2 linked regions of the Alligator mississippiensis genome follow. The protein of the gene in region 2 purifies or fractionates together with the protein of the main gene of each other region. This does not show direct contact. Links are inferred from orthologs where the notes say so. Each region holds a gene or a part of one and is shown on either strand. Other genes may lie near its edges. The genes, in order: C1QBP and NEUROG3.

Region 1 (3,902 bases), on a different chromosome or scaffold from region 2:
AATCTTATTTTTTAATCCTGTGTTTTATACTAGAACTAAGAAAGGCTGGACCAGTCTCATTGCTCGACTCTAGAGCTTTCCCCTCGGGAACGAGCACAATGCGCTGCTCCATGTGACAGAGCAGGGGCGGATAAAAATGTAGAAGTTATTTTTGAACAATATCCGTGCGAGTACTTCTACCGGGACCTCTCCGAGAGAGGCAGCTTTTCAATTTCAACAGAAGTCTGTTGGTAGTTTTAGGCCGAGGTGAATTAAAACAGATTAGATTTCGAAAAGGGCGGGAGAGGGACCAGTTTTGTAAACGCAGTGTCACTGTGGAATAAAACGTGCTTAGTTTAATGCGAGTGGTGGTGGTATCTTGCTTTCTAAGTGATGCGGCGTTTAGTCCCCTCTTGCGTTCTTAAACATCCAACTTAAAAGAAAAAAGTGTGTGGCGGGGGTGGCTTACATTTTAATGGGGATCATATTTGCAAACCAGTTTTGACACCGTTAATTAACCGTGGGAACAACAAGCTGCTGCCTGCTGTGCGCGCAGGGGGGATGAGCTGTGCTTCCCATTTAAAACGTCTTTTCTGGGCACGAGCTTTGGCTACGTCTCGCTTGTCCTGGAGCAGCTTTGTTCTGCTCGGTCCGCAAAAACTATGAGCAATCCTTCTGTAAAACCTGGACTTTGTTCCAACTAATCTGCAAATCGCTGGCGGCGAGGGGCAGCGTTGGCGTAAACCGGCGCGCTCCAGGTACGCGGCGTGTCCCGAGCGACCCCGGAGTCGCAGCACGCGTCCGTCTCTTCCCAGGCGCAAAGGGTGACACTTCGTGTTACGGGTGCCTGTCGAAACGTAGGCGCTCGTCTCGCTGACCCTGCCTCTTTCTCCGTATTGTCCACGGCTGGCGAAGGCGCTGAGGGCGCATTTTGGCCGTGGCCGGCTGCACCCCGGGGGCCTCCGGGCAGCGGTGGGAGCGGGGAGTTGCAGAGCTCTGCCCCCGGCGTCGTACAGAAACGTGACGCCTGTCAAATAAAAGCACATGTCGTTGGGGCGGTCTCTCAACGACGTTTGGGGTTATTTAGAAACGACTAGTTGCACAACTGCCCGTTTCCCGTCACGCAGCGCCTGCAGAGCGTCGGCTCGTGCCGGGGTATCTGCGCGCGCAGCTCGAACAGGCGGCCCCACGGGCGGGAGGCGGAAGGGGCGGGGCAGGAAGCGCGCTTCCGGCTGGCGGCATCGGCTTCCGGGGCAGAGGTCAGGCCGGCCGCACTCCCTCTCGCACGTGTCGCTGCCTTTCTTCTCTAGCTTCGCGCCAGACGCCATGCTGCTAGCCCAAGCGCTCCGCTCCGCCGCCGCCGGCGCCCTCCGCTCGCCGCGCGCCCTGCTGCGCCCGGCCGCGCGCCTCCCGCGGGGCCCGCCTGCTGCCGCCGCCGCCGCCGCGCGCCCCTTCACGCGCTCCCTCTGGCTGCTCTGCGGCGAGGCCGGCGGCCCGCGGCCCTCCGCGCTCCTGCGGCCCCCGCCCGGCCTGTCCTTTGGCTGCGGCGGTCTCCACACCGAGGGTGAGCCTCCGGCCTGAGTGACCTTGGCCCTGGGCCTGCACTGCTGCAGGGCAGCGGGTCCCGCCTGGGGCCTTTCCGCACCCTGCTCAGGGCGGGCAGCCTCTGAGTCCTTCACCCCGCCTGGCAGCGCCGGCGAAGGGTGACGCAGAAATCTTCCCCTTCTTTTACCTGGGGGTCGGTGGGAAAGCCAGGGGTGGAGCTCGGGTCCAGGAAGCAAAATGTCTCCTGTCCCAAATGACCTCTTCTGTTCCTCGCAAGGGGACAAAGTGTTTTCCGAGTTCCTGATGGATGAGATCAAACAAGAAAAGAAGATCCAGAAGCACAAATCCCTGCCCGAGATGTCCGGAGGGTGGGAGCTGGAAGTGCAGGGCACCGAGGCCAAACTGCTGCGGAACGTATCTGGCGAGAAGTAAGTGATGCGGATCTGTGCGTTTCATGTTATTTGATGTTAGCAAACTGGAAACAAAACAAAAAAAAAAGCCCTGTATATAAAGCTGGGTGCGCACATGTGCTTAAGAGGCATGCGCATGTTAATGAAGAACTAAGTGCTGCTTCCCAGTGTCCCCCGGGGTTATGTATTTCTTGTAACCTAGTTGCGTTCCCCTCCTCAGCCCCGTCCCTGGTTGAGGCGCTCTGTATTTCCTTTATGGCTTTTGTCACGTTTGTTTCACAACCAAGGAGAAAACAAAAATGGCCAAGGAGAAATGCTAGATGTTTCATACTCATTACTTTTCTTGGAAAAGGGAGCTTGTCACGGAGAATTTTGCCCTGTTTCCTATCCCGTGTATTCCAAAACTTCATGCCACCATTTCACACAAGAAGAAAAACTAGAGAATTCAACCTACGAAACTGAAAATATCCTTGTTAGTCAATATAGGGCACTTACGGAGTTTAAACTTGGTGCAGATGGCTGTATTTTAAAACACATAAACTGGGGAGCAGTGCGCTGTATGAGGTACAGGGGAGATTCAGGGGGATGCTTAATACACTTCAAATCCTGTTCGCATCTTGAGTTCAGCACTTGAAACTTTGAGTAGGGTTACAGTTAATGTGGGTTGTACAACTAACTCTTCCTATTGTGATGTTAAAGGATTTCAGTCACGTTCAACATTAACAACAGCATCCCACCAGTGATTGATGAAGAGCCCCAAGAAGGACAGAAAGCTGATGAACAGGAGGTAAACCTACAGCCTATGTGTTCCCTTTCAGTTAGTACACTGTAGGGTAGAGGGGAAGTCAGGCCATTGCCCAGTTGTGTTTGGGCAGACACTGTTAACTTGGTCTTCAGAACACAAAGGTGCTTAATGCTGGCATAATGCAGATTGTTGTTACTTTTATTTTTTCCCATTACTACAGTAGCAAAAGCCCGGCCTACAGTAGCAAAAGCTTTTGGCCACTTGGCATAATCTCTGCCAGGGCAGGAGGAATTTTTTATAGTTGCAAGTGAAGGTAGTTGATCTTATAGCTGCCTTCCCTTCCTGCTGTAATGAAGGCCAGGTCTGTGCAAGGAGCTCCTTGCTACTGTGCTATAGAGCAAAGAGAGCCTGGTGTGGTGCCCCCACCCTGTCCATGAGTCGTATCAGGGAGAGCTCAGTGCTATGAGCTGCGTTTACGCTACAGCTGTGTACTGGTCTGGCTGTAGTAGTCAGGGATCACGTCTCTTCACATGTCTGGCTGATACCAATGGCACTAAGAACTTGCAGTGCACACAAAAACTTAAATGGCTTGATCCTTGATCTTTTTATAAGGTCACTGACTTCCAACAGTTAGTTACAAGGGAGAGCAGAGTCAGTATATGGTATTGGTAGTTGTTTAAATCACCAGTGTGGTTTGGGGCAACCAACTCGCTAATCCCTGAGCACTTCATAGTAGTTAGGGGTCAGAAGGGACCTGACTAGATCATTTAGTCTGACCCCCCGCCACTGGTAGGAGCACGCACTGGGATCACACCACCCCAGACAGGTGTTCATCCAACCTCTTTTTGAATTTACCCAAGGTAGGAGCGAGGACCACTTCCCTAGGAAGCTGGTTCCAGAACCTAGCCACCCTAACAGTGAAATAGTGCCTCCTAATTTCTAACCTGAACCTATTCTCCAGCAGCTTCTGGCCATTGTTCCTTGTTGCCCCAGGTGCTGCTGGGGGAAATAGGGCCCTTCCTATTTGCTGCTGATCTCCCCTAACGTGTTTGTAGGCAGCCACCAAATCCCCCCTCAGCCTCCCATTTGCTGAGGCTGAACAGGTTCAGGCCCCTCAGCCTCTCCTCATAGGGCCTGCCCTGTTGCCCTCCAACCAAGCAGGTGGCCTTCCTCTGAACTCTCTTGAGGCAGGCCACATCCTTCTTAAAGTGCGGTGCCCAGAA
Region 2 (3,382 bases):
GAATCTGAAGGCGCCTAAGCATCGGTCCCATGAGAGGGCGGGCGTAGGTCATTGAGCTACCTCGGGATAACTTTGCCTGCGTGGGGTATTGCTGGGAGCGGTAACCTGCTCCAGTGGCTTGGAGGTGTGGTCTGCCTTCAGATCCTGTGATTTTGCGAGACTTGAAGACAAATTTGAAAGCCCCACCACCCCAGCCTCAGGGCACTTGGCTGCTCCTTAGGTCACAGATGTGGTCCCTGAGGCTGTGTGCCTTAGGGCACAGGTGCGTCCACGCACCTGGAGGGCCCAGCAAGTTCGTGGCCACGCGGTCGCTATCAAAGGAGGGAGAGTCCTTCCCGAGGGGGCCGCTTTACAGCAGAGACGCTGCCCCGGCGGAACAGCGGGGCGGAGGCGCTGGGCAGAGATGCGGGGCAGGTGCATCTTCCCCTGGGACACGCAACTCCCCGGGAGGCACTGGAGCTGCTGGAGCGAGCAGTGGGGCAGGGCGCGGGCCCGGGACCCCCAGCCGCGCCAGGCAGGGCAGGGCCCGGGTCAGGGCAGGCGAAGGAGGAGTCTCGTCCGGGCAGAGGCCGCCCCAAGCTGCCTGGGCTCTGCCCGCCCGGCTCAGAGGCAGAGCCAGCCTAGCCCCTGGCTAGTGAAGATGCTGAGGCGCGGGGGGCCCAAGGGCTCCGACGGTGCCAGATCGCGGCGCCGACAGCCCAGTCGCGCACCGCTCGAAGCTGTTTCCCCTCCCTCAGGCGCGGGACCCCCCAGTGAGGAGGCAAGCCCGCAGCTCTGTCAGGCCCCGGCGGACAAGCGAGAGCGGCGAAAGGCCGCTGGGAGCCCGTTCCCCTCGAGCTGCCCCCGCCTCCCTGCGGCCGCTCGTTGGCAGCCCCCGGGTGGTGCGCCGCGCGACGCGGGGCTGGTGCGGGGCGCACGGAGATGCTCGACGGCGGGTTTCTGACGCCGCTGCCGGGGGCGGCGCTGAGACGCGGAGCCCCGCCGGAGGCCGCAGCTGCCGAGTTTCGTCCCTCCTGCGATCGGGGCGCCCGTGCCCCGCCGGCGGGCCAGCTCCTGCGGCGCGATGTCCCCCACCCCCGGGAGCTCGCCGGGCCCCGAACACAGGGGTCCGCGGAGCGAGACCACACCTGCCCATCCCTGGGGAGCCCCTGGGTGCACTCAGCCGGGCCCCTGCGTCCCCCCGCGACAGGGGTGGCTCCTGGTGGTGGTGCGGGGGGGGGGGGGGTGTTATAAAACGTGCTGCACCCGCCCTGCCCTGCCCACCCAGGGCGCGGAACAATGACAGCAGCAGGCCGTGTACAAAATAGAGATGTGCGTTGGGAGACAGGGCAATAAATACAAACAGCGGCGACGCGACTCATAATTTACACCCGGGTGCATGTCTTCTGCTGCTGCTGCTGCTTCTTGCAAGCCAGGCCGGGCCGGAGCTCAGCAGCGTCGGTGCCCCAAGCAGCCCCGCGTCGACGCCTCTAGCAGGAGCCTGAAAAGTGCACAGAGAAGGGACGAGGCCCGTTCCGTTTAAGGCAAAGCGGGTGAGGGGCAAGAGCTGGCGCCTGGAGCGTGGGCGGCCCCCAGGGGCAGGAGAGGGGGCGGCTCAGGAGAGCTGCGGGCAGGCGCGGGGGCTGTGCCGCAGGCAGGGCGCGGGGTAGGCGCGCGCCTCCTCCGTGGAGCCGGCGGGGCTGAGGCTGCCGGCCCGCGAGTCGGGCGAGCACAGCGAGTCCCAGTCGCAGGGCGAGGCGCTGCCGGGGCTGGGCAGGGGCAGCAGGCAGGCGCCGGCCGGGCCCGGCGGCTCGCGGCCAGGCAACAGGCTCTGGTCGGCCAGGCGCAGCGTCTCGGTCAGCGCCCAGATGTAGTTGTGGGCGAAGCGCAGCGTCTCGATCTTGGTGAGGCGCGCGTCGTCGGGCAGCGTGGGCAGCACCCCGCGCAGCGCGTCCAGCGCCGAGTTGAGGTGGTGCATGCGGTTGCGCTCGCGGTCGTTGGCCTTCATGCGCCGGCTGCGCTTCTGCCGGCTCAGCGCCGCCTCGCTGCGCGCCCGCCCGCGGCCCCGCCGCCCCCTCGGCCTCCGCGGCGGGGAGCCCGGCGGGCTGCAGGCGGACGGCGGCGGGGAGGCGGCGCCGTCGGGCGGCTGCTGCGGAGACATCCTGCGGGGAAGCGGCCGCGTCAGCCCCTGCGCACCCCCCGGCCGGCGGGGCCCGGGCAGCGCGGCGGGCGCCCGGGTCTTACCTGGCTGCCTGGTGCGGAGGAGCCCGGCTCGGACTGCCCGGAGCGCGGCGGCGGCACACGCCCGCCCGCGCCCCTATATGCGCGGCCGAGACAATGAGGCCTCCCCCGCCGCCGCGTGGCCCCTGCCACGCTTTATCCCGGAGCGTGCCTGGCTCGTTCCCGCCCGCCGCCGCCCAATCAGAGGCGGCGAGGCCGGGGGCCGCCACGCGAGCCCCGCACAGCTGGGAGCGCAACAAAGGCGCTGGCCGGCGGCGGGGCGGGGCGGGGCGGGGCGGCCCCTGCTCCTCGCCCAGGCACCAGCGCCTCGGCCCGGGCGAGCCTCAGCCCCCCGGGCCGAGCCGAACCGAGCAGGGGGCCACGGAGCCCGGCGGGACGGGTAGCGCACCTGCTCCGCTTGCTCCCTGCCGGCCGCTCCCTCGGGCCTGGCGGCTCCGCGGTAGCCCGGGCTAGGCAGGGAGAAGAGGGGCGAGGGCCGCCACCCCCCACCCCACCCGCGCCTCACTGGACACAGCCTGGGGTGTGAAGGGGCACGGGCTGGGCGCCAGCGCCTCCCGGCGGGACGGGACATCAGCGCGGGCCACTTGTGCGTCCCGCAGGCGCTCGAAGACGCAGGGCGGCCAGGGGCAAGGACAGGGACAGGGTCAAGGGCAGGGGCACGGTCAAGGGCAGGGCCGAGAAGGGGCCGACACCCGGCAGCGGCCCGGGGCAGGGAGCGGGCACCGCCACGGCCCCTCGGCAGGGCCTGTCCCCGGGCGGGGTGAGGGCCGCAAACCGCAGGTGCGTGGGAGCGCGCAGCGCGGGCGGCTGGACTGAGCGGCCCCGCGAGAGCGCTGAGCCCGACCCCGGCCGCGCACCGGGCGCTCTGCCCGGCGGGCCCGGCCTAGGGGATGCCACGGGCCTCGCCCTGCTGCGCCGCACCGCGCGGGGCCCGGGCAGGCGGAGCAGGGGTGCTCGGGGCCCGGCCGGCAGCAGGGACCGGAGGTCGAGGCTGCCTCGCGCCCTTCGGGGCTGGGGGGCCGGGGCCTGCTCCTCCCCGCGCCCGGCTCCCCGAGGCTTTCACAGCTGGGGCGGGACTCGCAGCGGGGCCCCTGCAAGAAGCGCTCGGCCCCGGGATCAGGCCCTGCGCGCCGGTCCCTCCTGCGGCCCAGGTGGACTGAGC

What was found.
Region 1: the proteins of NEUROG3 (region 2) and C1QBP purify together in Homo sapiens (affinity purification with mass spectrometry; 3 studies listed by BioGRID and IntAct, counting the BioPlex papers as one, with this or other methods). This does not show direct contact. The link is inferred for Alligator mississippiensis from reciprocal best matches to the Homo sapiens genes NEUROG3 and C1QBP.

Annotation. Positions count from the first base shown.
Region 1 is NC_081837.1:15,046,840-15,050,741, forward strand, and holds the start of C1QBP (complement component 1 Q subcomponent-binding protein, mitochondrial), read left to right. Parts: upstream 1-1,256; 5' UTR 1,257-1,305; coding exon 1,306-1,543; intron 1,544-1,801; coding exon 1,802-1,952; intron 1,953-2,633; coding exon 2,634-2,721; intron 2,722-3,902.
Region 2 is NC_081829.1:55,902,467-55,905,848, reverse strand, and holds NEUROG3 (neurogenin-3), read right to left. Parts: upstream 2,141-3,382; coding exon 1,595-2,140; 3' UTR 614-1,594; downstream 1-613. UniProt on the Homo sapiens protein: Acts as a transcriptional regulator. Together with NKX2-2, initiates transcriptional activation of NEUROD1. Involved in neurogenesis. Also required for the specification of a common precursor of the 4 pancreatic endocrine cell types.